4 linked regions of the Macaca fascicularis genome follow. The protein of the gene in region 2 purifies or fractionates together with the protein of the main gene of each other region. This does not show direct contact. Links are inferred from orthologs where the notes say so. Each region holds a gene or a part of one and is shown on either strand. Other genes may lie near its edges. The genes, in order: IGSF8, CD9, PTGFRN and ITGB1.

Evidence for each region.
Region 1: the proteins of CD9 (region 2) and IGSF8 purify together in Homo sapiens (affinity purification with mass spectrometry; 5 studies listed by BioGRID and IntAct, counting the BioPlex papers as one, with this or other methods). This does not show direct contact. The link is inferred for Macaca fascicularis from reciprocal best matches to the Homo sapiens genes CD9 and IGSF8.
Region 3: the proteins of CD9 (region 2) and PTGFRN purify together in Homo sapiens (co-immunoprecipitation; 8 studies listed by BioGRID and IntAct, with this or other methods). This does not show direct contact. The link is inferred for Macaca fascicularis from reciprocal best matches to the Homo sapiens genes CD9 and PTGFRN.
Region 4: the proteins of CD9 (region 2) and ITGB1 purify together in Homo sapiens (co-immunoprecipitation; 5 studies listed by BioGRID and IntAct, with this or other methods). This does not show direct contact. The link is inferred for Macaca fascicularis from reciprocal best matches to the Homo sapiens genes CD9 and ITGB1.

The regions. Positions count from the first base shown.
Region 1 is NC_088375.1:100,957,529-100,965,129, reverse strand, and holds the start of IGSF8 (immunoglobulin superfamily member 8), read right to left. Parts: upstream 4,848-7,601; 5' UTR 4,700-4,847; coding exon 4,633-4,699; intron 1,482-4,632; coding exon 1,104-1,481; intron 678-1,103; exon of another isoform or gene 414-677; coding exon 1-413. UniProt on the Homo sapiens protein: Member of the immunoglobulin superfamily (IgSF) that links tetraspanin-enriched microdomains to the actin cytoskeleton and plays several important roles in innate and adaptive immunity.
Region 2 is NC_088385.1:7,135,031-7,141,959, forward strand, and holds the end of CD9 (CD9 antigen), read left to right. Parts: intron 1-1,375; coding exon 1,376-1,474; intron 1,475-1,623; coding exon 1,624-1,713; intron 1,714-2,664; coding exon 2,665-2,748; intron 2,749-4,843; coding exon 4,844-4,909; 3' UTR 4,910-5,339; downstream 5,340-6,929. UniProt on the Homo sapiens protein: Integral membrane protein associated with integrins, which regulates different processes, such as sperm-egg fusion, platelet activation and aggregation, and cell adhesion.
Region 3 is NC_088375.1:117,487,043-117,494,633, forward strand, and holds the start of PTGFRN (prostaglandin F2 receptor negative regulator), read right to left. Parts: upstream 4,133-7,591; 5' UTR 3,836-4,132; coding exon 3,787-3,835; intron 3,456-3,786; exon of another isoform or gene 3,293-3,455; intron 1-3,292. UniProt on the Homo sapiens protein: Inhibits the binding of prostaglandin F2-alpha (PGF2-alpha) to its specific FP receptor, by decreasing the receptor number rather than the affinity constant. Functional coupling with the prostaglandin F2-alpha receptor seems to occur.
Region 4 is NC_088383.1:33,658,696-33,665,624, forward strand, and holds part of ITGB1 (integrin beta-1), read right to left. Parts: intron 5,543-6,929; coding exon 5,304-5,542; intron 5,087-5,303; coding exon 4,864-5,086; intron 3,881-4,863; coding exon 3,648-3,880; exon of another isoform or gene 3,380-3,647; intron 1,956-3,379; coding exon 1,789-1,955; intron 562-1,788; coding exon 487-561; 3' UTR 481-486; intron 1-480.

The sequences.
Region 1 (7,601 bases), on a different chromosome or scaffold from region 2:
CTGGGCCCAGCTGCCATCAGGATCCTGAATCCACTCAGCGGCAGTGCAGTGGTAGGTGCCTGCGTCCCCTGCCTGGGCACCCCCTACTACCATGCGGTACCGATCGGTCCCTTCCTTGCCCAGACGAAGCTCCCCTGCAGCCAGTCGCTCAGCATAGGGAGCTCCGGCCTCCACGGCCAAGTCTGACCGGATTCCCACCACTTCCTGCAGAGTTGCTCGCCCAACTGGTGCCTCAGGCACAGATCGCCCAAAGGACACAGCCAGGTGTGTGTGCTGCTGTGTGCTTGTCCTCGCCAGGCAGCCCAGTGCCAGCTCCTGCCCCTCATGCACCATCAGGCGTGGGGGTGAGGTTGGGGCCTGGCGGCCTCGGGGCCCTGGGGGGGCAGCAGACACCTGGAGGGCATCTGGAAGAACTGGAGAGAACAGCTGGAGTGAGGGAGGGCTGGGAGCTGGCAGCCCTTGTTACTGTTTCCTGTGTACAGCCTATCTCCCTAAATAGACTGTGAGCTCTCAGAGGGCAAAGATTGCATGTTGTATTATTTCCTCCGTAACTCAGTGGTGCCAAGTGCAGTACTGGGCACAGCACAGGCACTCAATAAATACTTGTTGAATTTCATAGAACCAGCCCATGTTGGTTCTATGTTCGAGACTGACCCCTCTTTGAAATACTGAGAAAAGTGGTTCTGTCTTCCTTCTCAGAACACAAAGAAACTTAGTGAGAATGTCACACGGTCTCACTCCTTCCCTAACTCTACTCTCTTTGCCAGATCTGGGTCCTGTACTGTCCAGGAGTAGAGTCTATTCAACCCAATAGTCTTCCTCGTTCTTGGGAATGGAAAGGGGAATGGACAACTTAAGGACCCTTCTTCTCCCAGGAGGGGTCTTGATATGATAAGACAAGCACTGGCCTGGGTGAGGCAATCTGGGTTTGAGTCCCATATCAGTCACTGAGTTATTGGGCGACTTTGTGCAAGTCACTTAACCTCTTTGGGCCTCAAGTTCCTTGGCTACAAAACCTAAGGGGCAGTTAGATAGGTCACTTGTGGCTTTGACTTTCTGCCTTGAGAGGGTGTGTGGCCCCACCCCATCCCAGGGCCCAGTACCTCTCAGCTCCACCTTGCCGCTGTAGCTGCCCAGGTAGCGGGTATCAGTGGAGGGGGTGTGGCACTCATAAATGCCAGCATCCTGGGCCTGCAGGCGGGCAATCTTGAGCACCACAGCATCACCTTGTAGGCGCTGCACCTGCACCTCACCCGCCACCACTCGGGACTTGAAGATAGCATAGGAGAACTGGGTATCCTTGGTACTGACAATGCCCAGTGCAGTATCTGGGGCCTCAGGCCTATACAGGAACCACTCGAAGTTCTGCTGGGCAGGTCCCTCGTAGCCGGTCACGTTGCAGGAGATGGAGACAGCTGTTCCAGTCACGCGGTACAAGGGCCCCTCAGGGACCAGCACCTCCCGGGCCCAGCATCCCATTCCTGTAGGGAAAGGCAGAAGAAGTTGGAGATGCCTGGTTCCCCATTCCATGCCCTCTGCCACCACAAGCACCATTCTTGATCTCTGCCTACAAAAGGAAAGGACACCTGGGGAAGATGGTCCACAGCTTGGACCCTGTTCTGAGAATAGGAAAGGGATGCTGTGATATAAGACACCTGGATCTCAAGAAGGTGGCACGGGCCCAGGATTGCCTTGGCACCTAGATGCATCCCATTTCTGGTGGACTAGAAGCAGAGCGCCTAGTACATCTGATTCCTGACCTAACCAGGCTTTGGTTCCAGCTAAACCTTGATCTGTCCCTGCCACTCACCCACCTCCATGTCTGCCATTCCTTCCTCAGTGCCTGGCCAGGGGAGCCTTCTGGCTGGGGGATGCTGAGACTACATGTCCCTCCCCTTTGCTTGAGGGGAGCTGGCAGTCTTGCTCAGAAGTGCTAGTTGGCTCAGCTGTGTCACCTGGACCAGACAATGGAGCCAGTGACCCTAGCTGGAAAGGGCACAGGCCCAGTCAGTTCTCACCACACAATGCCCTCCCCCCTCCAGCTGCGCCATGAGCTCACTGCTTCTCTCACCCCACAGGGCTGCCCAGGCAGCTGGGGCTTCTGGGGCAAGGTCCAGGCTCTGCTCTCGCCACTGGGGCAGAAGATCCCCTCCTCCAGTGCCTGCCAACCTTCCTGGCTAGCCCAGCAGACACACAAGGCGCCTGCCCCAGTTCCTTAACAAAGCCTTCATTTGCATATGGTATGCATTCATTTACATATATGGCTTTCTTTCTGTAGGGAGGCATTAAATCCCAAGCTGCCCCTTCTCATCTCTCTCCCTTCAGAAAGGTCAAACCTCTCTTCTTCACCCTACTCCACCCCTATGCCCAACTCTACCCCAGCAGATACTCCTGGCAGACTTAGAGGGCTTAGCTCCTCCCTTCTCTCCTTCCATAGCTCCCACTAGATAAAATCGCAGAACCTCAGAATGTAAAGAGGGCTAGGCTACCCCTCCCCCCCTCCCCATTTTACAGATAAGAAAGGTAAGGCAGGAAAAGTATAATATCTTAGCCAAGATCATGCTGTCCCTAGATGGCTTCCACACCCTCCTCCAGAGGGGCAAAACCAGGGAGGAAAATGGGGAAACTCCAAGGCCAGGCCTGAAGGGACTGACCTCACCAACCAGAGTGTCACTTTTAGGCCTCCCAGGGGGATACCATGGACTTTCTGCAGAAGCTAGAGGAAAATGCCCAGGAGTCTGTGGTCAAACTCTACCCTCCAGCTTCTCTAGAATGGCTCCTCTGAACTTCCCCACCCCTGCTGCTGGGCTCCTAGCCCCTTCCTTTATCCTCTGGCTGAGTCACAGGGAGAACTCATGGTCTGTTGTTGTTAAGGGCACAGGCTGTCAATCAGGAAGTGAGATTCCAGCACCATCCCCATGCCCAGCTGTGTGGCATGGGATCCAGTCTCTTTCTGTCCTAGGCCTCGGTTTCCACACTGGAGGAGAACTAAGAGCTCCAGCTCTGACCATGCATGAGTGCGCATGTGACTCAGGAGAGCCCTGCCCCAGGCCAGGCAAGTTTCATAATCAGGGTGATGGTGGAGACGGCCAAGCTGACACCTTCCCTGACTGCCTCGGGGCAGACTGCTCAGAAGGCCCCCTCCCATCTTCCTGGCTCCACAACTGCTGATGCTTGGAGATCCCCATGGGAAAGTTACCTCCACAGCCTTAGGAAATCAGTTGCCACACAGCTCTCTCTCACCTCCTCTGTATTAGTTGCAGCGAGGAAAGGGAGAGCAAAGAGGCCTGCTTTGGAATCAGATCTGTGTTCAAATCCTAGCCCTAATACTCACTAAATGTGCTCTCTGGGGCAAGTTACTTCAATTTCCTCACTTGTGAAATGAATGTAAGTGCCCACAGGCAGTGGGTGCTCAGACGTCTGCGTGCTCCTTTTTCAACCACAGGCCAGCACTTCCCCACCTCCCTGGGCTCCTCCCTGCTCCATGCTGCCCACTGGGGAAAACACAGCAAGTGCTAGGCAACCCAGGTCCCACAGAGCCTTCCTCTCTGTACATCCTCCTGCCACCTGCCCAGGGACCAAGGAGAGGACTCATCCTAGCCCTGCAGGGCCCAGGGACCTGCAGCAGGGGAAGGCTTTGCTTGGTGCCACTGTGGAGCCCTGGTCTAGAAACAGGCAGCTGGGGCTACCTTCAGCCTCTGCCTTGACAACAGCAGCTCTGAAGTCACCATCCCCACCTCCACGCTTCACTCTCATTTCAAGGGCTTCAGCCTCATCAACATCTGTACTGGCAGTTTCACTTCTCCACGCCATACTCTTCCCCAGACCACCTCCTACAGGCAGCCTTCCAGTTCAGGCCAAAAACAATTCCACTGTCATTACCCCCAGGCATCCATGCAAGATTAGCCCAGAACAACCCACCATGAACACCCACCACAGCAGGCACAAGGTGCTTTGAGATCCCAGGATCAGTCTCCATGGAACCTGGTTTCTCCTGAGGCAAGGAAGCTGGAACTAAGCGGGTGTGAAAACTGATGGGTGGCTGCAGAACCAAGTGCCATTTGGGAGAGAGGAAGAAGGGCAAAGAGGGACCCAACCTGGGGTGGAGATGGGGGTGAGAGAGAGAACTGCCCCCAGTTGATGAAGTGTGTGGAGCGCAATTGGGAGAGACTTACTTCAAAGATCGTGGGCAGAACTGGCCTCTGGGCCTCCAGCCAACTCTAGGGCAATTTTGAAGCTGGGCAGGCACTGCCCACGCAGGGCGGGCACCCAAGGCCAGGCCTGGAGCTGAGTGTGGGGCAGAAAGGAGTCGCAGCATTTGGTGCAGCGACCCCAGGACGTGGGTATGCTAGCTGAGAAGTGGGGCCTGCCCCAGGAGGCCAAGCAGTGCCTGGGGCAGCACTTTAGTGGGTCCTCCCTGTGCCCCACTCCCTGACTTAGAGCTGGGGAGCCTGCACTCTTCCCAAGACTGGCTCGGCGGGCAGCCACAAAGCGCAGCTGGCCGCCGACCCCGGGGAGGCTGGAGGTACCCCTGACGGAGGAGGATGTGAGGAGCCCCGAAATGCTCGGGAGGTGCTGGGTGGCAGGCACCTGCCCGGCGGGGCCGGGAACCGGAACGGGGGCCTGACTTACCTAGCATTAGCAGCAGCAGCAGCAGCGGCGGCGACGGCGGCAGCAGCGTGGGCCTGAGGGCGCCCATCCTGCGCGGCCAGCTCTGGGGAGGCTCCGGGGGATGGCGCGGGTTCTGGGGGGCCGGTGGGGTGAGGGGCGCATGCCCAGGTGGGGGGCAGGAAGCTGGGCAGCGAGGCGTGGGTGCGCCGAGCGAGCTGAGCTGGAGCTGCCGAATCCCCTCCCTCCGCCCCTCCCGTTGCTTTCCCTCCAGCCCTCGGCAGTTCTGAGACCATTCTAGCCCCAGCCCGCCCCGGCACCGCCCCTTCCTCCGCCCCGTCTAAGCCCGCCCCGCCCCGGACCCAGCCCTGGCCCGGCCCGCCCCACCCCGCCAGACTCAGTTCTTTGCTCCGCACTTGGCCCCGGCCCCGCCCTGACCCTCGAAACTCACCTTTGCTTGGCACCGAGTCCCAGCCCCGCCCCGGTCCCGCCCCTCCCCGCCCCTCCCCGCCCCTCCCCGCCCCTCCCCGCCCCTCCCCGCCCCGTCCCGTCCCGTCCCGCAAGACTCCAGCCCTGGCTCCGCCCCGGGTCTCGGCCCAGCCCCAGTTCCGGCCCCTCCCTGGCCCAGCCCCAGTTCCGGCCCCTCCCTCGCCCCGCCCCACCAGGACTACAGTAGGACTACAATCTTGGCTCCGCCCCGGGACCCGGCCCCGCCCCAGTCCCAAGCCCCACCCCTTCCCAGTCCCCCCAGGGCTAACGTCAGCCTCCAAACCTGACTCCGCCATGGACCCCGGCCTCGCCCCGCCCCTGGCCCTGGCTCCGCCCGAGGCCCCGGCAAGAGTGAGCTAATTGCACCTCGGCGCATCGAAATTCCCACCCACCCTCGTACAGAGCGCACCCCACCCCGCACCTGCCAGCCTTTCCTGGAGAATTGGGTGCAGGGGCCCTGGGATTGGCTGTGGCCACGCATTTAGAATTCAGTTATTTTCTCTGAGCCATAGTCCTCGCTGCAAACCCTGTTGAAGTAGGGGTTGGCAGAACCCAGGAGTTCCTAAAGGCGAAGGGTTTGAGCTGAAGGGCGCTTCCAGGATCCACAAGGTCACTGGAGACCTGTTTTTCACCCCCTCAGAGGGCAAAACCAAAAGAAAAATGGATTGGGAGAGGCGGCCGTCCATGTGACGTCATTTCTGGGTTGGGTGATCCTAGCCCAGTTGTTTAACCTCCTTCAACTTCAGTTTTCTCCTCTGCAAATTGAATTGAGGTTATCACACCACCCAAAGGGGATGATAGGTAATGTACATAAAGTGTTTGGCACAGGAAACTAACACGAAATGGGAGATAACGAAGGATTATTTTGTTTTAGTTTTTGAATTATTATTTGAACTGCTTCCTAAGAGGCTTAATTTAGACCTAGTTTAGACCTGGCGTTTAGGTGAAGGAGTGTCTATGTTCAGTGACAGTGGGAAGAGATGAACATTGTTCTGGGAAGAGTGGGGCTTGCCCTGGAGGTGGGAGAATGGAGGAGGCACCCTTCCCAGGTGTTCTGTCTCTTCCTGAACTGTAAAGATGGGGAGTGGGGACGGGCAGGAAGGATGAGACCAAAATGGGGAGAAGAGATGGCCAGGTTTGCAAAGCCAAGGCTGTCAGAGTGGCCGTCAGTGGGAGGTGATCCCAGAGCCCATTTACCACCCTCTACCCTCCAACACCCTCCCTCTCCCCTCTTCCCTCCCACTCACTCACCCCCCCTTTACAGAAGAGGAAACTGAGGCCCAGAGAGGGTAAGTGGCACAGGCCAGACCAGACCTTCCTTGACATTGTATTCCTCAAGCGTGGCAGAGTGCCTGACTCTGAGAAGACGCTCATGGGGTTGCCAGTAGAAGCCACATTGAGGAACCCTGGAGAAGCCAGAGAAACTGAGGCCAAATGTTTGGGGCCTTGAAGGGAGATCAGAGGTCCAGCCCTCACCTCCCAGGACTGCCAGCACTGGCCCATGAACAGGGTAGTAGGGTGCCTTTTATTCCCGCTTTGAAATATCCACAGCCTGGTTGCTCCGGAGCCTCATCATCTAAATCCATCCACAGGCATACTGAGCTATGTGAAAACTGAACTCATAGGGAAGCTTTTGGAAGAACACGTCTTTCCCTTTATAATGGATTTAATCATCGAGTGGATTGAATGACTTCATGATGCTTGAGGGATGAAAGACGTTACCAATTGTAATAATGACATGTCATTTATGAAATGCTTACACAAGAAGGCCCTTTTGGATATTAGTCCTAGTCCTTATAGCATATTTTGCAAGGCAGTGTCATTTAACAGAAGAGAAACTTGAGGTTAGACAGGTGAAGTATCTTGCCCAAGGCCACACAGTTTTTAAGTGGCTAAGGGGTGACTTGAGCCCAGGTTTGTCTATCCCCAAAGCCCCAAATCTTCCTACACCTCACTGTCCCTCCTCCCAAGCCTCTCCACCCTGTAAACTCAGTCATTCAACAAATATTGATTGGGCCAGGCCTGGTACTGGGTACTGGAGATGCCGTGGTAAACAAGGCAGGCCTGCTCCCCTGCCCTCAGGGAACATAGTTCTATATGTTAGGGATACATTTCATAAACAAGTCATAACCAACCCCCGGTATAAGCATGATGAGAGAAGTCTTCAGGGAGGTGAGATATCCTCTCTTACCCCGCGGCCTGGGACGGGGAAGGAGCTGGGGCAGGCTGGCGTTGAGAGCTGGGTTGGTGTCTCCCTCCAAAGGGGATAAGGCCCAAGGAGAGAGCAGTGTCTTCAGCAGGCCCCTCCCCAGACTCCGGGTTCCAGCGGCGGCCAGCAGGGGGAGCCCACAGCCCAGACCTGACGGACCCCTCAGCTGCTTATGTAACTGGGAAAGCTGGGGGAGGAGAACAAACCCCAGGCACGAGGCACGTCACACACACGGACACATGTCCCCACTGTAATGGAGCGGGGATCATACAGAAAGACGGCTCCCAGAAACACA
Region 2 (6,929 bases):
TGGGGAGCCCTGCAGACTTTTGGACCAGGATGGGCCATATCAGAGTAGTGTTTTTGGAAGGGCTACCTTGTCATGTTCAGCAGGAAGGGGGAAGGAAGAGAGATGCTGGAGGCAGGAACCCTATTGTTTTGTTTTGTTCTTGAGACTAGTCAAGTACGGTAGTGGGAAGCAGGGAAAAATAGAACAAGGACTTCCATCTGTAACTGACGTGAGCAATCCATTGAGATAACTCACTACTTTTAGACCAGCCAAGGGTCTAATATTTTTATTAATATTTTTTAATATTTTTATTTAAAAATATTTTTATTAAAAAAGCATTTAATACTTTTTAATATTTTTATTAAAAAATAAAAGTAGGCCAGGCGCGGTGGCTCAAGCCTGTAATCCCAGCACTTTGGGAGGCCGAGACGGGCGGATCACGAAGTCAGGAGATCGAGACCATCCTGGCGAACACGGTGAAACCCCGTCTCTACTAAAAAAATACAAAAAACTAGCCGGGTGAGGTGGCGGGCACCTGTAGTCCCAGCTACTCAGGAGGCTGAGGCAGGAGAATGGCGTAGACCCGGGAGGTGGAGCTTGCAGTGAGCTGAGATCCGGCTACTGCACTCCAGCCTGGGCAACAGAGCGAGACTCCGTCTCAAAAAAAATAAAAGTATCCAAGCAATAACAGCTACAGCCATAGAAATAGGAAGGGATCATTGTGAAAAATGTCAGAAAGATGCTGAAGGAAAAATGCTGGCTGTTGGTCTGTTAACTGGATGTGGGTGAGCATCAAAGGGACAGATACGCATCAAATTGGGATGTACCAGATGCAGGCACATAATAATATATCCCCTATATTATAATACAATAGCTGACACGTCCTCCAGATTTACTCTGTACTGGACATAGTGGCAAAGGGCTTAACGTGCAATATCTCATTTAAATTCTCACAATAACTTATGAGCTATAGAGACAAATGTGGAAACTCCGTACAGAGAGGTTTAGTAATTTGCCAAAACTCATACCTAAGTGAAGAGAAAAAGAAGATGGAAGCCTGAGGAAATAGTCAAGTCAGGAGTAGTAGTTTTTAAAATATTATTATCCTTTAGAGCATAGAGATTCAATTGAGGAGCAAAGCAGAGCTGAAGAACTGACCAAAGTATAAGACACAGGGAGAAACAGCCAGAGCGGGTTTCTGGAGGACGTGGGAGGAGATGGGAAGTGCCCAAAGGCCCCGAGAGAAGGCAGTGCTAGCAGCTGCCATCTGCCCAGTGATGTCCAAGCACGTGGCTGAGAGCTTAAAGAGAGAGAACAAGATGGAACACGTAACATTTGTTCGTGGAGAAAGGTGTGAAAATGCCGCCTCTGCCCCTCTCTTGTCTGCCCATCGTAGGTGATTAAGGAAGTTCAGGAGTTTTACAAGGACACCTACAACAAGCTGAAAACCAAGGATGAGCCCCAGCGGGAAACGCTGAAAGCCATCCACTATGCGGTATGTGGCCTTGGCAGAGACACCCTCCTGCGCTCACTCCGGACCGTGTCTGCACACAGCGGTGCTGACTGTACCAGACCAGCGCAAACATTCTAATCATCTTTTTAAAATGTGTTTCTCTCATCCCCATCCCTGCCTTCTCGCTGTAGTTGGACTGCTGTGGTTTGGCTGGGGGCGTGGAACAGTTTATCTCAGACATCTGCCCCAAGAAGGATGTCCTCGAAACCTTGACCATAAAGGTAAACTCAGAGCAAGATCCTGGTGCCCCTGCACCATTACTGTGGGCAAACCCTGCAAGCATAAAAGTGACAGCAGCCAAGTGCTGCTTCAGAAAGACCCGGTCTGCCTGTGAAAGGGTCCCAGGGCACCCATCTCTTTCTCCCCTACTTTGGGCCCTCTGTTTACTGAAGGGCAATAAAACAAAAGGCCGGGCGCGGTGGCTCAAGCCTGTAATCCCAGCACTTTGGGAGGCCGAGATGGGCGGATCACGAGGTCAGGAGATCGAGACCATCCTGGCTAACACGGTGAAACCCCGTCTCTACTAAGAAATACAAAAACTAGCTGGGCGAGGTGGCGGGCGCCTATAGTCCCAGCTACTCGGGAGGCTGAGGCCGGAGAATGGCGTGAACCCAGGAGGCGGAGCTTGCAGTGAGCTGAGATCCGGCCACTGCACTCCAGCCTGGGCTACAGAGCGAGACTCCGTCTCAAAAAAAATATATAAAAAATAAAAAATAAAATAAAACAAAGGCCAGACCAGGGGAACGACAAGTGCTCTGGCACCGCCCACTGCTGCCAGCCTGGAAGCTGTCGAGGGCAGGCGTGCTTCTGAGTCTTGGACTCCCGCTCTGACTTTGTCAGTGCCTCCTGTCTGTAAGCTGGAGTTAATGTCCAGCTCCAGAGTAGTAAAAAGTGACCTTACAACCGTATCAGAAATAGGCCCCCAAGCAGGGCCTGTCCCTCCCTCCTCCTTCCCTGATGTCCTGCCCAAATGTTTAGCATCCATTAGCATAGCCATCCCTTTGCTCCCCTTTCCATCCACCAGCCAGAACTTCTCTTATCCCTGAACACCCCTGTCCCCAGCCCACCCTCTGCCCACCAGTTCTCCCGGGTGAGACGGGTGCCATGGGAGGAAGGAGGTGCCCCGGGAGCAAGGATTGTGTGTGACCCAGGTCTTGGTTTGTCTCCCCAAGTCCTGTCCTGATGCCATCAAAGAGGTCTTCGACAATAAATTCCACATCATCGGCGCAGTGGGCATCGGCATTGCCGTGGTCATGGTGAGTGGCGGGACGTCGTCCCAGGAGGGGGACTGAGGAATTCACACTGATTCAGCCCATGCTCTGCCCAGATACTGCCGCAGTCTGTGCATTTGTCAGCTCACTTTGTCCTCGTGCCCTTAGTATTTCCATTTTACCACTAGGGAATGGAGAGACAGAGAGGCCGCCGTTCTGATCAAAGCCTCTCACCTCCTGAGTGGAGTATCTGAGGTTTCCCCTGGGTTTCTTCAGAGTCGACTCTCTTAGCCATTAAGGTTCAGGGCACATGGGCAGCAGTGCTGGCGCTGCTAGTCCTCAGAGCATGTCTCCTCATGCACCTGCTGTTCTTCTCCCTAAGAAAGGAGTTCACTAGAGGCTACCGGCATGGGAATTATTTCCTGAAGAGCCTCTGAAAATGGGCAGCCAGAAGGAGGTCTCCTGCTAATCAGCCCCTAGAAACCAACAACGGCCAACCAGGTTCCTTGGGGTCATGTCCTCTCTCCCCGTGAGGGAAAGCCCCAGACGGAACATGGTCCTCGCTGGGATGGCCTTGGCTCCCTGAGTCTTCCCCCACCCCCGCCCGCTTCTGCCCCCTTGCCAGACTGCCCCCAAAGAGAGAATCGCCTCCTTTCTCCGGCGTCTAAGAAAGGCATGAAGTACCTTGCAGCAAAAGATACAATAATACTTTTTTCTTTCTTTTCTTTCTTTTCTTTTTTTCTTTTTTTGAGACGAAGTTTCACTCTTGTCACCCCGGCTGGAATGCAATGGTGCGATCTCGACTCACTGCAACCTCCACCTCCCAGGTTCAAGCAATTCTCCAGCCCCAGCCTCAGCCTCCTGAGCACCTGGGACTACAGACCTGTGCGACCACACCCAGCTAATTATTTTTAGTAAAGATGGGGTTTCACCATGTTGGTCAGGCTGGTCTTGACCTCCTGATTTCAGGTAATCTGCCCACCTTGGCCTCCCAAAGTGCTGGGATTACAGGCGTGAGCCACTGTACCCAGCCAAGATATCACAATACCTTTTAAAATAGAATATTAGGCCGGACGCGGTGGCTCATGCCTGTAATCCCAGCACTTTGGGAGGCCCAGGCGGGCAGATCACAAGGTCAGGAGATTGAGACCATCCTGGCTAACATGGTGAAACCCTGTCTCTACTAAAAATACAAAAAATTAGCTGGGCGTGATGGCAGGCACCTGTAGTCCCAGCTACTCGGTAGGCTGAGGCAGGAGAATGGCGTAAACCCGGGAGGGCGAGCTTGCAGTGAGCCGAGATCGCGCCACTGCACTCCAGCCTGGGGGACAAAGCGAGACTCCGTCTCAAAAATAAAAAATAAAAATAAGGCCAGGCGCAGTGGCTCACGCCTGTAATCCCAGCACTTTGGGAGGCCGAGACGGGCGGATCACGAGGTCAGGAGATCGAGACCATCCTGGATAACACGGTGAAACCCCGTCTCTACTAAAAATACAAAAATTAGCCGGGCGCGGTGGTGGGCGCCTGCAGTCCCAGCTACACGGGAGGCTGAGGCAGGAGAATGGCGTGAACCCGGGAGGCGGAGCTTGCAGTGAGTGGAGATTGCACCACTGCACTCCAGCCTGGGCGACAGAGCGAGACTCCATCTCAAAAAAATAAATAAATAAAATAATAATAATAATAATAAAATAAAATATTAACACTTTGGGAGGCCGAGGCAGGCAGATCGCATCACTGCATTCTAGCCTAAGCAACAGAACAAGACTCCGTCTCAAAAAAAAAAAAAGGAATATTAAATACACACAAAGACAAGCGCAAAAGTACTAACCTGTATGAACTGTAGGAAAACCTGGAATTTGAGCATTTAATTTGGCTCTGAGCTTCCTTGTCCCACCCTGAAAGTTCCCAAGGAAGCTGCTTGTGCACCTGACTGCCAACCCCCCAGATTCCTCACGTCCCGCGTCCTTCTCGTTATCTGGCCTGCATCTCTCCTGCTTCGGTACCTTCTGACTCGTTTGGCCTCCTGGATGCCATTCTCCTTGTCATTTGTCTTGGACTGGGTGACCCGTGTCTCTCCCTTTCCCTCAGCCTGCCTTCACATCAAACCACCCTGATCCTCATGTTTCTTCCTATCTCCCAGATATTTGGCATGATCTTCAGTATGATCCTGTGCTGTGCTATCCGCAGGAACCGCGAGATGGTCTAGAGTCAGCTTACATCCCTGAGCAGGAAAGTTTACCCATGAAGATTGTTGGGATTTGTTTGTTGGTTGTTTGGTTTTTGTTTTTGATTTTGTTTTTTTTTTGCCACTAATTTTAGTATTCATTCTGCACTTCTAGATAAAAGCTAAAGTTATTTTATGTTTGTCTTTTAATGCTTCATTCAATATTGACATTTGTAGTTGAGCGGGGGGTTTGGTTTGCTTTGGTTTATATTTTTTCAGTTGTTTGTTTTTGCTTGTTATATTAAGCAGAAATCCTGCAATGAAAGGTACTATATTTGCTAGACTCTAGACAAGATATTGTACATAAAGAATTTTTTTGTCTTTAAATAGATACAAATGTCTATCGACTTTAATCAAGTTGTAACTTATATTGACGACAATTTGATACATAATAAAAAATTATGACAATGTCCTGGACTGGTTTTGGTTTCCTTTAATTATTTTGAGAGCTATTTGGTTTGCAAATGTCTTTCAACTGCTATTACCTCTACCTGCATTTATATGAGAAGTAGTTTGGGAAATTGCTCACCCCAGTTTGTTTACTAATGAAGACATCTAGATGTGGAAAGATTAAGGGATTCTGATCCAGAGTCACACCGGTGTTAACAGAGGAGTCAGCACCAGCAGCTGGTGCCCAGACGCTCATTCAGCAGTGTGACACGTATATCTTGGGGACATGACAGTACACGTCACACCATGGTGGCAGAACTTTGTTTTATTCACTGCCTAGCCCCCAGTTTCTGGTGCATAGTAGTGCTCAGTATTTTTTTATCAGTGAATATTTGTTGGTTGAATGAATAAATGAGTGTGTACCCATCAGGGTTTCATCAGAGAAGCAGAACCACTAAGAGGTACTTGTTTGAAGAGATTTGTTGTGGGAATTTGACCTTAACACAGTCACTGGCACTGGGGCTGCTTAAGCAGGCTCTGCAGACAACTGGGAAGGACAGACGGACGTAACGTAAGGGAGGACAGGCCCGAGCGGGAGCCCTTGAAGGCAGACACATCCGTCTGTGTCAGTTCTTTTTTTTTTTTGAGACAGGGTCTCGCTCTGTTGCCCAGGCTGGAATGTCATGGCCCAATCTCAGCTCCCTGTAGCCTCCCAAGTAGCTGGGACTACAGGCATGAGCCATCACACCCGGTTAATGTTTGTATTTTTTGTAGAGAAGGGTTTTGCCATGTTGCCCAGCCTAGTCTTGAACTGCTGGTCTCAAGCTATCCACCCGCCTTGGCCTCTCAAAGTGCTGGGATTACAGGTGTGAGCCACCGCACCCGGCCCTGTGTTAGTACCTGCCTCTGCTGAGGTGAGCCAGCAGAGAAGTCACAATTCGTATGAGCTGTGAAATGACCGCTGCTTCACTTCCCACCTCCAAACCTTCCACAAGTTTCTCCTCTGTGCTCTACTCTTAACCGGAAACACACAGGAAGAGAATTCTGGGAAGTGTGGTTCAGCTTACCCAGGTGGACAGATCACAAAGCCACCGCTGCATGGGAGGTGTGGTCCGTGCTCAGACTGCACTGTCGTGGGCCATTCGGAGGCAAGCAGGCAATAATGGCAGAGTGGGATGAACAGGAGAAAGGTGAAGTGCAGAGGCATAAGAAACCAATTTTTATTTTCCATTCCTTAATTCCATTTGGGTTCCTCCTTAACACTACAAAAAGAAAAACAGGAAAGAAGGATCAAAATGTCCCTGAATGCCATTACATTCAAACATCAGAACACCAAAGTTGATAGCAGTGTTATTCACAATAGCCAAAAGGTGCCAACTCAAATGTCCATCAACAGATAAATGGACAAACAATACATGGCATAGCCATATGATAGAATAGAATTCCACCTTAAATGCTGCAACATGGATGAACCTTGAGTACGCTATGCTCATTGAAATAAGCTAGACACAAAAGAACAAATATTCTACAATTCCCTTGATAGGAGGTACCTAGAATTGGTAAATTTATAAAGAAAATAGATTAAAAGTAACCAGAGGCTAGAGAGAAGGGA
Region 3 (7,591 bases), on a different chromosome or scaffold from region 2:
ATTATTTGAATTCTAAAATACTGATGTGATGCTTTTGACACTTAAAAAAGTATCTCAATAGATTTACCAAAATAAAGACAAAAATGAAGAAAATGTGTTAATCCCACCCTACAATCTCTGTGCCTTCCACTCTCCAATTTATGTTGCACTAGTTGAGGGTTTATCCTCCTCAACACATCACCCTGTCCTCCTAATCTCGCCCTACAAACTTTTAATGGCTACCCATTCCCACAGATAAAACGACATATATGTTTATAAGTATTCAGTCAGCCAATATGTAACAAACACCCAGTATGGGTTATATATCCTATCAGTAATAGGGACATTGTAGTGAACAAAACCAATGTGGCCCCTGCCCCCAGGGGAAACAATTGGAGTAGGGAACAGACAATTACATACAATGAAGTAAATATATGCTCTGATGACAGGGCACAGACTGCCTGGCAGCACCCAGAGCGCCAAGAAATCTACCCCTCCCAGTCCAGACTCCTCAGCACAGCACGCAAAACCTACAGGATCTATCTCAAACCCACCTTTCCTCCCCCATTATTTCCTCCTCCCCCAAATAATTGCACCCCCATTTCCTCCTCCTCCCAGTTACATAGAACTTACGTGCCATTTCTGAATGAGCCATGTACTTTCACTCATCCACACTTTAGGCTTTTCCCCAGAGCCTAGAATGCTCTTCTATCCTTTCTTTCAAAATTCTAATTATCCTCAAGGCTCAGCTCAAATGTCACCTCTTCAGCAAAACCAGCCCCAACCCCCAAGTCAAAATTAATCATCCCCTTCCTTGTTTCCCACACTTGGTTTCCACGTCAGGTATTTCATTCAGGCCTGTGGTTAGCTATTTTATTCTCTGTCCACTCACACCCACCAGCCGCTCAGGCAGATGCTGTGTCTTGGTCATTTGTCTGGGACTCCCAGTATTGAACACACAGTTGCACACAGAGTGGCACTCTCTCTGTGAATGTGGCACATTTCTTGAGTGGCCACTCAAGAAATGCCACACTGAGTGGACGGGCAAGACAGATCAGACACAGGCAATGGATGTGAAACCTGCCCTATGTGGCTGGGTGGGTTCTGGTGGGATCATGGTAGGTGGGTTTAGAAAGGCTTCATGGAGAAAGTGAGTTTTAGGGGAAAAAGGAAATACTAATACACAGGCAAGAGGTGAGAAGTAGAAGGGGCCGGAAAGTTTAATATAGTCTACATAAAGGAGAGCAAACAGGTTAGATAGAACAAAGTGTGTGAGCCAGAGAAGACTGGAGGGGAGGACACTAGGGGCAACATCTCCTTGGAGGAAAGTCATAAGGACCCAGTGAGAACAGGTGGGAGCCCCAAAAATGATCATTTAGGAAAAGGATGAGCTTAAAAGGGAGGCTGGAGGAAATAACCAACCACGAAGACACCAATTGTGTGGGAAACAATTGGGACCTGGGCTAAGACAGTAGCCGTAGAAACAGGAAGGAAAGGAAGAAGCTGGAGTCTGTGCTATGGGGAGACGCAAGAATTGAGAGACTATGTGAATGTGGAGGTCAAAAAGAGCAGTGATACCAAGATTATACTCAGGTTACTCCCTAGGAGGAAAGATGATCTTGCTTATCAATGTATTACATTTCAGGGATCAGTACAGTGCTAGAGTAGTGTAACACAGGGAGACCTTCCCAGAGGTCAGGCTGAAGTCACGCCAAGTGAGATTCTGTGGCAGCAGAGTTATCAGGAGGGTCATCAATGGTTCAGAGAACTGTCAGGTAAAAAGGCACCGGCTAGTGACACCACAGAAATTCCCAGTGTAATTCATAGGAGGCATCCAGCCAGGACAGGATATGCTGGAGTACAATCAAGATTTCCCCAAGCTGTGCTTTCCCCACTTCTATTTTGCTTTTGTCAGTCTCTCTTTGCCCCCTTCCCTCTTCCCCCCTCATTATGATTACTCAAGGGCATTGTTTTCAAAGTTTTCAAAGTTCTACCTCATCCCACCCTCATAACTGGTACCCAGGTTGTTCAAAGAACTGCACAACTCTAGGGGGAGTCATTCACACAGACTACAAAGTGAACAGCAGCTCCCGAAGTTGCACAGTGCACAATCTGTGCAAACCCAGGCCACGGCCCTGCTTGACCTAGACACACACAGTCAATAAAAATTGTGTGTGGACTATAACAGCAGTGCACCACTAACATACAACTTACAAGGGTCCCGCAGTGAAAAGTAAAGATTAAAAGCACTACCACCGGGTGTGGTGGAGCATGCCTGTAATCCCAGCACTTCAGGAGGCTCAGGTGGGAGAGTCAATTGAGCCCAGGAGTTTGAGGCTTCAGTGAGCTATGGTTGTGCTACTGAACTCCAGACTGGGTGACAGAGTGAGGCTTTGTTTCAAAAATAAAAACAAAGCACTAGGATCAGGGACTATAGAAAAGATGCCATAAAACTAAGTGGAAGATCTGGAAGCTTTCTGCACATGGGCTGAAGCTGAAGCAATGTGGCTGGACGAGCTCTCTGAGGGAGTCAGTTCAGAAAATCTCTTCAAGGTGAAGGAAGAAAACACAGAAGCTAGCAAGGCTGGTTTACCAGCAGCAGGAGTCACGGGGCTTAGAGCAGTGTGGGCCCCCGGTGTCCCCAGTAGGGGAGTGGCTATAGAAGGCCTTCTCTGGGACCCTCCGACCATAAGTGCAGAGTAGTCATTTGCGCTGTGTGCAGCTGGGACCTGGATGGGACGGACACCGCACACCATGCGCTCTGTAAAAGACTCAGATCTGCCTTCTCTAGGGGCTTGGAAGAGAACCCCAGGCCGGGTCATAAGAATCATCTTGTCCTGGTTGACACTGACCACAAGGATCCAAGAATATCAAAGCATTTAAGAGTCGGCCCTGGGGTACCATGGTGGGCACTTAATAAACATATTTCCGTGGCTGGCTAGGATCACCATGTGGATCTACGTGAAGATGGTGTCTGTGTATGGAGTGAATGGAAAATGGAGAGGGAAAAAACCCACAAAAGATTCCTTGGGTGGGGGGAGGGCGCTGGGCCAAAACCTCACGGGGCACCGAGGGTTTCCGGAGGGTGGAAGATGAGGGGACAGTAAGGGAGGAAAAGTAACAGGTAGAAAAAGTTGGAGAAGCCAGGCTCTTAGGTCTTTGTGTATAAATACGCAGCTAGGCAGCTTCAAGAAAAGCTAAAAGAAAAGACTGAGGCAGACAATCTAGCCACGACGAAAATGACGGCAGGACTCGCCCGCCGATTTCCATTGTAACGCTCCGGGCCACCCTGTGACCTTCGTGGAAGGAAGTTGGAGGATTCTCTCGCTTCCCTGGAAAGGCAACTCCGCGCGGGCTGGGCGAAGAGAGACCCGGCCGGCGGCGGCTATGGCGGGGCATATCAAAGGCTCACATTTCCGCTCTCGAGCGGGGGACCCGGGCCGGGACCGCAGCACCTTCCGGGCCGGGAGTTCAAGGTGAGCCGGGCTCCCGGCGGCCAACAGGTAGGGAGGGCTGGGGAAAGCCGGCCCGGGCCACTCCCCCCGGCACATGTTGGGGGCGAGGCTCGGCCTGGCGGAGCCGCCACTTGCACCCTGCGCGCGGGGCCCGGGCTGATTCGCGCCAGGCTCCGGGCGGCCCCGCGGCCGCTCCCCGCCGGGCCAAGCAGCCCGCGCACCCCGGCCGGGTTTCCCGGGAGCAGCCCGGGCACCCTCAGTGACCCAGGCCGCGCGCTGCAGCCGCGCCCCGCCGAGCCCTCCAGGGCCCTGCCAGACCCCCTGCGCCCAGCTGAGCCCCGCGCACACTCACCCAGCGACAGGAGCGCCAGCAGCAGCGGCCTCGGCGCCAGGCGCCCCATGCTCGCCCGGCGGGAGCGACTCTCCCCCTCCTCCTCCTTCCCCGCCGCCTCTCCTCCTCCTCCTCCTCCAGCTCCGGCTGCTCCAGAGTCGGCGCTCCTCCGCCTGGGCCGCGCGCCTGCTCCGCTCTCCTCGCGAGCCGATAAATCCCAGCGCTGGGGCGTACGTGCGCCCCTGGCTCCGCTCGCTCCCTCCCGCCTCCTTCCCTCCCTCCTCCAGCCGGCCGGGCCCGGGAGCCGGCCCCGCCGATCCGAGTGTGCAGCCCCGACCGCTTCCCGAAAGCAGAAGGGAAGAACCGCAGCGCCCGCCCGCCCGCGCCTCCCATCCGGCGCTTTGCCAGCAACAAACACAAACTTTCCCAAGCCCCTCCCCGCTCCAGGTAACGGAGGAAGCGCAGGGGCCACCCGCTTAAAGGCGAGGAGGCGTCGGAGCCCACCCTGCCTTCCCCTCTAGGCCCCCACCCCACGAGAAACTTTCCTCCGACCTTTAAAAGTTGGCCTGGGAAAGACTCGTCTGGAAATCCCTTCGCTTTAGCCCTATCCCGGGACACCCCGCGTTCCATCACGCTGGAGTCACCCACGCGTGTCTAGTCTATCCTCAATCAACTGCCCGCTCGTTCGGCCTCTCGTCCTGAGCTAAACACCCCAGCAACCAGCCGCTTGGCCTATGCCAAAAATTACGCAGATGGGAGCGAAGGAGCTGAAAGGACTTTTGAAGGCCACGGATTCCAACGTCTACCATACAGAGGCCTTAAGTGTTTCGGTGAGGTGCCCAAGGATTCACAGGGAAGGGGCAAAATCAGAACCCCGCTGTCCTGACTGCCCACTCCCCGGTGATTTGGGTGGGCCTGCCTCCTCCTTACCCAGCACCCTCCCTCTCCTCAGCGCCTGTGGCACTGATTAGAACAGCTCCACACAAAGACACCCATTTAAAAAACAAACGAAACCCAAGTGTATTAATAGCTATAGTACTTCATATAGAATGTACTGTTAAGACTTCATATTTCTTGCTCTAAGTGGACACCACTGGTTGCCAATAAAGACTCATACTTCCCCCCACAATAGAGTTTTGTGCTTTTGATTTGAATACAAAAGGCCCCACGGGTATTGGGAGAAAGGGAGCATTCCTTGCTTGAAACTTAGCAAGCATGATTCAGACACGCAAGGAGCAGGACTGGTGCCCACTGCCCCTCACTGGGCTTTCATTCACATGTGGAAAACGGATCACAGATGCTTATGCGGAAACTGCCCACACTCACACAGGGGAAGAACACTACTTTTACTCTCATGCATCCGTGTTTCAACCAACAAATGTTTCTTATTTCCACTATCAAATGTGTGATTAGCCAGGTATGAACCCTTTGGAAAGAGTCTTAAAAATTCATTCCTGGTGGTGCAACGTTATTGTACTTAATGGCACTGAATGGTACATTTAGAAATGTTTAAAATTGCTAGGCATGGTAACTGGTACCTGTAATGCTAGCTACTCAGAAGACTGAAGTTGGGGGCGGGGGCGGGGGTAGAGGGAGGCCGGGAGCGGGGGCAAGGATGGTGTTGCTTGAAACCAGGAGTTTTTATTTGTTTTGTCTTTTTTCTTATTTCATTTTTGAGACAGTATCTCGATCTGTCACCCAGGCTGAAGTGCAGTGCTGCGATCAGGAATCACTGCCGCCTTGACATCCCAGGCTCAAGCAATCCTCCCACCTCCACCTCTCAATAGCTGGGACCACATATGTGTGCCACCACACTCTAGCTAATTGTTTCTATTTTTTTGTAGACACTGGAGTCTCCCTATGTTGGCCAGGCGGGTCTTGAACTCCTGGGCTCAAGCGATTTTCCTGCCTCAGCCTCCCAAAGGACTAGGATTACAGGTCTGAGCCACTGGGCCAAAACGTTTTCTTGTTTTTCTTTTTTCTTTGTTTTTGAGGCTAGAAGTTTGAGACCACTTGGGCAACATTGTGAGACACTGTCTCTAAAAAAAAAGTTGTAATTTTTAAATGGTAAATTTTGTGTTATGTACATTTTATACAATAATTTTTTTAAAATTTTTTTCTGCCACCAAGCCTTTCCTGGTTCTGTTCATACACAGTGTAATTCCTTTATCTTTCCCATCCCAATTCTTCCCTAGAATTTTTCAGGGAAGTTTTCCAATTTCATTCAATCAACCTTGAATGCAAGCCTAATGTTAGGCCTTGGAAGATAGTGGAGCTTCAGAGAAATGTGAGGCCTGGCACCTTCAGCAGCTCAGATTTCAGCTCATCCTTCATCTTTCCTTTTCTTAACCCCCTAGAAAACTTAATGTCTGAACCATACATTGTGGCACTTGGTCACATTCATTTTAGCGAAACATATACACTGCCCCCATCTCTGTCTAATAATGCATGGGCCTAAGAAGCTGTCACATTTTCACCTTGTATCCCACCTTATGGCAGAGTAGATGTTTTAAAAACTCTTTTGTTTAATAAACAATGCGTGACAGGGACTGTGCCTAGCACATGGTAGGTCCTAATGTATATTTATAGAGTGAATTAATGGCACACACTGGGCTAAATCCTGGGGGTACAGGGATGAAGCAGACAGTTCCTGCCCTTGAGGAGCCTACAGTTTGTGCATTGTGATAGCATGTGCAAGGTAGAGTCGTGACACCACAAGGGAGCGGCCAGTCCAGGAGGAGGCTGTCATGACTATGCATTGAGTCTTGAAAAATTGGTAGGTCTTTAGCTGTGGAGTGTAGGGATAAGCTTACAATACATGTTGTGTATTTAGTGTGATAGAGATCCTTCTTGCCTCACCCACGCCCGGGTGTTATTAAATTAATGGTGCACCTTACAATCATGGGAATAACAGTGGTTAACCGTTGAAATGATGAGAATAAATAAAATTGTCTAGGTAAGGCAGGTAGAATGAGAACTGAAGTGGGTAGCCTGCTGGTGGCTGGCAGTTAACTGTCATGGGAGTTAACCAAAGAGCCATTTTTTTTAAGCAAAAAATAAGCATAAATTGATAACTCTAGACTGTTGGTTATAACCACCACACCCTTTGCACATTCCTGACTACCAATGGATAAAGGAAGAAGCACTCACAGCAGACTGGCACAATTTGTTAATTCATGACTCTGGAATCTGACGATGCTTTTACTATGAAAGATATTTATTTACCAGAGTGAGTAACCTTCTATACAGCTAAGGCTTTTGCCCCAACCAGTTGTTCTCCTGTCTTAGTCTATAGGCTTGCCTGGGGCAGGAAGACTCACTCTCCAGCAATTCTAATTGATTCACGCCCACCCCCAAGGAGAGTGCTGACATAGGTTTCTTTTCTCCAACCATAGTGCCCCCAAGGGGCACTGGTCATAGCAGTCAGACCTTATGGTCTTCTGGTTACACATGTCTTTCTGCAGGTGATACCCCTAAAACCTTACAAGAGTCCTCATACTATTACGCCAAACAAGTTTCCCTGCTGAGATCAGGCAAAAAACATCATCATATTATTTAACTTTGTGAATGAAAATGTTAAAAAGTTCCCAGTGAATGAAACTGCTGATCTGAGATTCACCTAGACTTGGGGTTTTTGGCCCTGCCACACGCACACAGTCTCCAAAGGACCCTGACCCCTACCTACTTCAGCAGGGGCTCAGGGACAGGAGTATGTTCCATGGCAACGTTTCATTCCAGTAATCATTTTCACTCTCAGTCTTCCTTGTTCCATGTCCAGATGTATATTTTCCTGGTTAAAGTTAAACAGGGATGACTAAGCAAAAAG
Region 4 (6,929 bases), on a different chromosome or scaffold from region 2:
GACTCTGTCTCAAAAAAAAAAAAGAAAAGAAAAAGAAAAAGAAAAAAGGATAATATTATTCTAGGCATAGGACTGTTGTGAGGATTAGAGCTGACAGGCTGATTTCATATACTAGAGTGCATTTGCCAAATACAACCACCCCATACAATACAGAGTACTGACTCCCTGTGATAGATGAGAAGTGAAGTGGCTCAATGCTGTTCTGCTTACTAAGTGGAAGAGGTGGGATTTGACCTAATGTCTAACTAATTGCAAAGCACATTCTCTTTTCACTACAACATAGCTGCTGTTCTATATCACATGACTTATTTTACAGTCTTTCTAAGAAAAACGCGAAGTTAACACACAAAAAGAAAAGCCACAATAGCGATATTTAAAGCCAGACTTAAAAAAAGACCAGCAATAGTGATAAGGACACACAGTGCAGTAAAAAAGATAAAAGTTCACATGCAAAGGCAGAAAGTGAAGGAAAATACGAACGGCAATTTAGAGACCAGCTTTACGTCCGTAGTTTGGATTCTTGAAATTATTAATAGGACTCTTGTAAATCGGATTTTCTTGCTAAAGTAAAAGAAATAGTTTCTAATGATTTCATCAGAAAAAAAAAGGACATTTATAGTGTTCAAACACTATAAAGGGAATTTTTTTTCTATTTCTACCCTTCTGCAATTTATAATTTAAAAAACTGGTAATTTTAAAAAACCCAAGGAAATTGTAGTAAAGTGCAACTAACTACAATTCATTTACAATTTAAAAATACTGAAGATTGTCATTGCTTTCTTGTATCAAAAGATGGATACACAAAGGCCAACATTTGGTTACCCCACCCTCTGACTCCTTATTTCAAAGCTCTAAAAATGCTAACATAAACTTTCAGTCCCTTAGGGCTTTTAAGATTTTTATAAGCTAAGGTTTACTGAGATACAATTTTCATAGAGGAACACACATCTTTTTAAAGTACATAGTTCTGTGAGTTTTCAAATACATAAATCTACCCACAATCAAGATCATCCCCAGGAAGATTCCTTACGCCCTGTTGTGGTCAACCCTTTCCTCCGTTCCAGCCCCTAGCAACCACTGATTTTTGCCCCTACAGTTTTGCTTTTCCAGAATATCTTCTAAATGGAATCATATTGTATACAGCAGGGGTGTCCAATCTTTTGGCTTCCCTGGGCCACATTGGAAGAAGAATGATTGTCTTGGGCCACACATAAAATACACTAACGATAGCCGATAAGCTTAAAAAAAAGTCACCAAAAAAAAAAAAAAAAAAAAAACAACTTACAATTTCTAAGAAAGTTTACAAATTTGTGTTGGGGCCACATTCAAAGCTGTTCTGGTCTGCATGTCCTGGCCCACAAGCTGCAAGTTGGACAAACTTGGTATACAACCTTTTGAATCTGGCTTTCATTGAAGGTTGTTTTTTTGTTTCTTTTTTTAAAGAAAGAAACAGCTTTCCATTGAATTGCTTGCTACACAGATAACATTATTTAGGATTCTGCCCCACATTAGATGAAAAGGCAGATTTAGGATCGAAACTATTAAAGAAATAAAAATACTGGCCACAGTAACCAGAATATACATGCTTATAATCAATGTTTTGTTTCAATGGGATATATTTAGGATGCTTTCTGTTTTTCACTAAATGCAAATTCCTTGAGTAACTTTTGGGGGAATAAAACACTTAAAAATGACTTTAATGATCACCCTGACAGTTAATATATAAGTCTTAGGAGTATTACATTTACTTTATGAGCCACTTTGCTTTTTACATGTTTTGTAACTTACTGTGTCCCATTTGGCATTCATTTTCTCCTTTTCAAATTTAGCAAACTCCCTTCTGTCATGAATTATCATTAAAAGCTTCCATATCAGCAGTAATGCAAGGCCAATAAGAACAATTCCAGCAACCACACCAGCTACAATTGGAATGATGTCTGGACCAGTGGGACACTCTGGAAAATAAGAAGGTTATAATAAGTACCACAAAGCTGGGCAGTATCTTATTAAAAAAAAATACAGGAATAAACACCCAAGAGAGTGAATGCACACTATCCCAAAGAATCTATAAAATAGCTTTTAGAACTAACAAGTGAGTTTACAAGCTTGCAGGATACATAATCAATGAACAAAAATCATGTACTTTTCTATATATATAATTTATTTCCACATATTGAAAACAGAAATTTTTAAACAGTAATATTTACTATAGAATGAAAAAGCATGAAAAACTTACATATAAGTCTAACAAAATATATGCAAAATTTGCATGTTAAGAATTACTAAACACTGATAAAAAGAAATCTTTCAGACTGAATAAATGGAGAGATACTCCATGTGCAGGAGTTACAAAACCTAATACTGTTAAGATGTCAATTCTTCCCAGTTTGATCTATAAACTCAATAGTATCCCACTCAAACTCCTGGCAGAACTTCTGTAGCAATCAGCAAGCCAATTTTAAAATTAACGTGGAAGGCAGTGAACTAGGGGAAGTGTCTCAAAAACACTTTTGTAAAATAATAAAGTTGGAAGACTCTTATTACCTGCTTTCAGGGCTAGCTATAAAGAAAGCTACAAGACCACGTGGTATAGCTAACAGATAGACACTCAGATACATGGAACAGAATAGAGTCAGAAACAGGCCTACACATGTAAGGTCACCTGATTTTCAACAAAGGTGGAGAAAGGACAGTCTTTTTTCAACAAATGCCCCTAGAACAAGTGGACACTGATATGAAAAAAACTGAGCCTTCTGTCACACACTAAGAATAACTAAAGATGAGTTACAGATCTAAATGTGAAACCCCAGAAACTATAAAACTTCTAGAAAAAAACACAGGAGAAAAATCCTTAAAATCTTGGGTTAGGCAGAGTTCTGAAAGACAATGTAAAAATAAGAGCCACAAAAGAAAAACTTGGTAAACTGTACTTAATCAAAATTAAAACCTGTGGTGTTCAAAAGACACTTAAAAAAATGAAACGATAAGGAGGCACAGGCTGGGAGACAATATTTGCAAAACACCTAGATGATAATTCAAAACACTACAGGACTCTAAGAACCTGGCAGCTTCTTACAAAGTTAAACATATGCTTACCATATGCTCCAAAATGCCATTTTTACTATTTACCCAAGAGAAATGAAAGCTTATGTTTACACAAAAACATGTACACTAAGGTAGAAAATTCTAAAGAATCTACAAAAAGGCTACCAGGAAAACTAAGATTAAAAAAAAAAAAAGTTTCACCTTCAGAGAAGTTGAACAAAATCAACACTTTATATTAATATCCTTTAACAAATTATCTTTCCTAGTATTCAAACTTAAATCAAGCTCTAATTTTAAAATCATCAATCATAAAAAAAAAACTCTTACTACGCACTTGGTGTCAGGCATCGTTCTAAGTGTCTTATATAAATCACTGCATTTAATCTTCAAACTCTCCACTTAGAAAACTTAAAAGTGGAACTCTGTTTTCCTTATTTCTTATACAGTTAATTAGGTAATATCTTAAGCTTTGAAAGATGAAAAATTTCCCAACTTGACCTAAAATATTCCAGCTGGAGACTGTTTCTGGATGTTAGGCCTAAATAAGCAGAAACAAGACATACAAGATATGAAAAGAATGTTTGCAATCATCGCATTTCTACCTGGATTCTCCACAACATGAACCATGACCTCATTGTTCCCATTCACTGAATATGTAAAATAGAACCAACAGTCGTCAACATCCTTCTCCTTACAATGGGACACAGGATCAGGTTGGACTGGCTGGGGTAATTTGTCCCGACTTTCTACCTTGGTAATGTTAAAATAGGAACATTCCTGTGCGCATGTGTCTTTCTTTTCTCCTTTATTGAAGGCTCTGCACTGAACACATTCTCTGTTAAAAAAAAACCATATTATTATATTTAAATTTTATTATTTCAATAAATATTTGCTTAAACATATTTCCCATGCTAAACTCTTGTGACCAAATTGAACAAACAGCTATGAAGGAGGATCTGAATAAATGAAGAGATGCATTACATTTGTGGATAGAAAAATTATGTAAAAAGATGCTAATTTCCATAATAAAAGATTTATTACAGTTCAAATTAAAACGCTATTAATAAAAGATAGTAAAATAAATTAGCCCTATCACATATTAAATATGTAACATAAAATCATAATAATTTTTTTTTGCCATGGAGTCTTGCTCTGTCGTCCAGGCAGTGCACAACCTTGGCTCACTATAACCTCTGCCTCCCGGGTTCAAGCAATTCTCATGCCTCAGCCTCCCAAGTAGCTGAGATTATAGGCACACACCACCATATCTGGCTAATTTTTGTATTTTTAGTAGAGATGGGGTTTCACCACATTGGCCAGACTGGTCTCAAACTCCTGACCTTAAGTGATCCACCTGCCTCGGCCTTCCAAAGTGCTGGGATTATAGGTGTGAGCCACTGTCCTCGGCCAAAATCATAATATTTAAATAATTTAAATATGTTACTAGTATAATAATCCTTCAAGAGGAAAAATCTTTAATTTGGCTTAGTTTTGTCAAAAGATAGTAATTAAGAAATTGGTAATGACAAACTAAATTAAATCTTAATTGCCAAAATAAAGGTTACCATGTAAATTCAATTATCTACCACATTCAGATCAAAATAATAGTACAACTCTCACATGACACACTTCATACCATGTAATACATACTAGCTGTTGAGAAAAAACTTTTAGGAATTAAAGAGTAGGCTTCCACGTGGCAGGCATTTTATTTATAGTATATTCTAATACTGGCACTGTTCCGGTTCTAGTAACAACACAGGCTTTGGAGAGCCAAGAGGAAGTATCAACTATTTCAAGCAATTAGGAAATACTTACTTATGCTCAGCACAGACACCAAGGCAGGTCTGACACATCTCACATGTTTGCCCTTGGAACTTCGGATCTGTACACTTACAGACACCACATTCGCAGATGCCCCGGCCATTACAGATCTGTCCGTTGCTGGCTTCGCAAGTACTAGTATCCAAAGAACAGTCACATGCACTGCCAGTGTAGTTGGGGTTGCACTCACACACACGACACTTGCAAACACCATTTCCTGCAATTAAGCATATCATTTCTCAAACTAATGGTAAAAATATACAATCACAGTATTGACTGAAAAGTAAAATAAGCAACAACGTGTGAGAAAGTATACCTGGGGCAGAACTGACCCTCGAGCTACCCCTCTTCTACTTATGCACCAAGTAAACTCTAGATTTTTTGTGGCATTAGATGAGATCACGTCTTACAACCACTTCAGGTCCTTTACTTACCTCCACAAATTAAGCCATTGGATCTATCACAGTTGAAATTATCACACTCGCAGAATTTGCCAGAATAAATTTCATTTGTATTATCCCTCTTCCTACAAACACACTGTCCACAAACGCACTCTCCATTGTTACTGCAGATTTCTGAACTGTTTTCTTTTCTGCAGTAAGCGTCCATGTCTTCACTGTTAACTTCATCTGTGCTGCATTCACAATGTCTACCAACACGCCCTTCGTTGCACCTGAAGAAACATTCCAAAATTGCAATCACACAAAACAAAAATAATTTAAGAGGTTCCAAGATGGCCGAATAGGAAGAGCTCCAGTCTACAGCTCCCAGCATGAGCAATGCAGAAGATAGGTGATTTCTGCATTTCCAACTGAGGTACTGGGTTCATCTCATTGGGGCTTGTCGGACAGTGGGTGCAGCCCACAGACTGTGAGTCGAACGAGGGTAGGGCATCGCCTCACCAGGGAAGTGCAAGGGGTTGGGGAATTCCCTTTCCTAGCCAAGGGAAGCTGTGACAGTACCTGGAAAATCAGGACACTCCCACCCTAATACTGTGCTTTTCCAATAATCTTAGCAAATGGCACACCAGGAGATTATATCCCGCGCCTGGCTTGGAGGGTCCCACGCCCACGGAGCCTCACTCACTGCTAGCACAGCAGTGAGATCAAACTGCAAGGCGGCAGTGAGGCTGGGGGAGGGGCGTCCACCATTGCTGAGGCTTGACTAGGCAAAGAAAGTGGCCGGGAAGCTTGAACGTGGCTCAAAGAAGCCTGCCTGCCTCTGTATACTCCACCTCTGGAGGCAGGGCAGAGCTGAACAAAAGGGAGCAGAAACTTCTGCAAACTTAAACGTCCCTGTCTGACAGCTTTGAAGAGAATAGTGGTTCTCCCAGCATGGAGCTTGAGATCTGAGAACGGACAGACTGCCAGCTCAAGTGGGTCCCTGATCCCCAAGTAGCCTAACTGGGAGACATCTCCCAGTAGGGACCGACTGACACCTCATACAGCCAGGTGCCCCTCTGAGATGAAGCTTCCAGAGGAAGGATCAGGCAGCAACATTTTCCGTTCTGCAATATTTGCTGTTCTGCAGCCTCCACAGGTGACACCCAGGCAAACAGGATCTGGAGTGGACTTCCCGCAAACTCTAACAGACCTGCAGCTGAGGGTCCTGACTGTTAGAAGGAAAACTAACAAAGAAGGAAAACTAACAAACAGAGAGGACATCCACACCAAAACCTCATTTGTATGTCACCATCATCTGCAGCTGAGGGTCCCGACTGTTAGAAGGAAAACTAACAAACAAAAAGGACAACCACACCACAACCCCATTTGTACGTCACCATCATCAAAGACACCCACAGTAGATAAAACCACAAAGATGGGGAGAAACCAGAGCAGAAACGCTGAAAATTCTAAAATCAAACACCTCTTCTCCTCCAAAGGGACACAGCTCCTCAACAGCAACGCAACAAACCTGGACGGAGAATGATTTTGACAAGTTGAGAGAAGACTACAAATGATCGGTAATAACAAACTTCTCCGGGCTAAAGGAGGATGTTTGAACTCATCGCAAAGACGCTAAAAACTTTGAAAAAAGATTAGACGAATGGCTAACCAGAA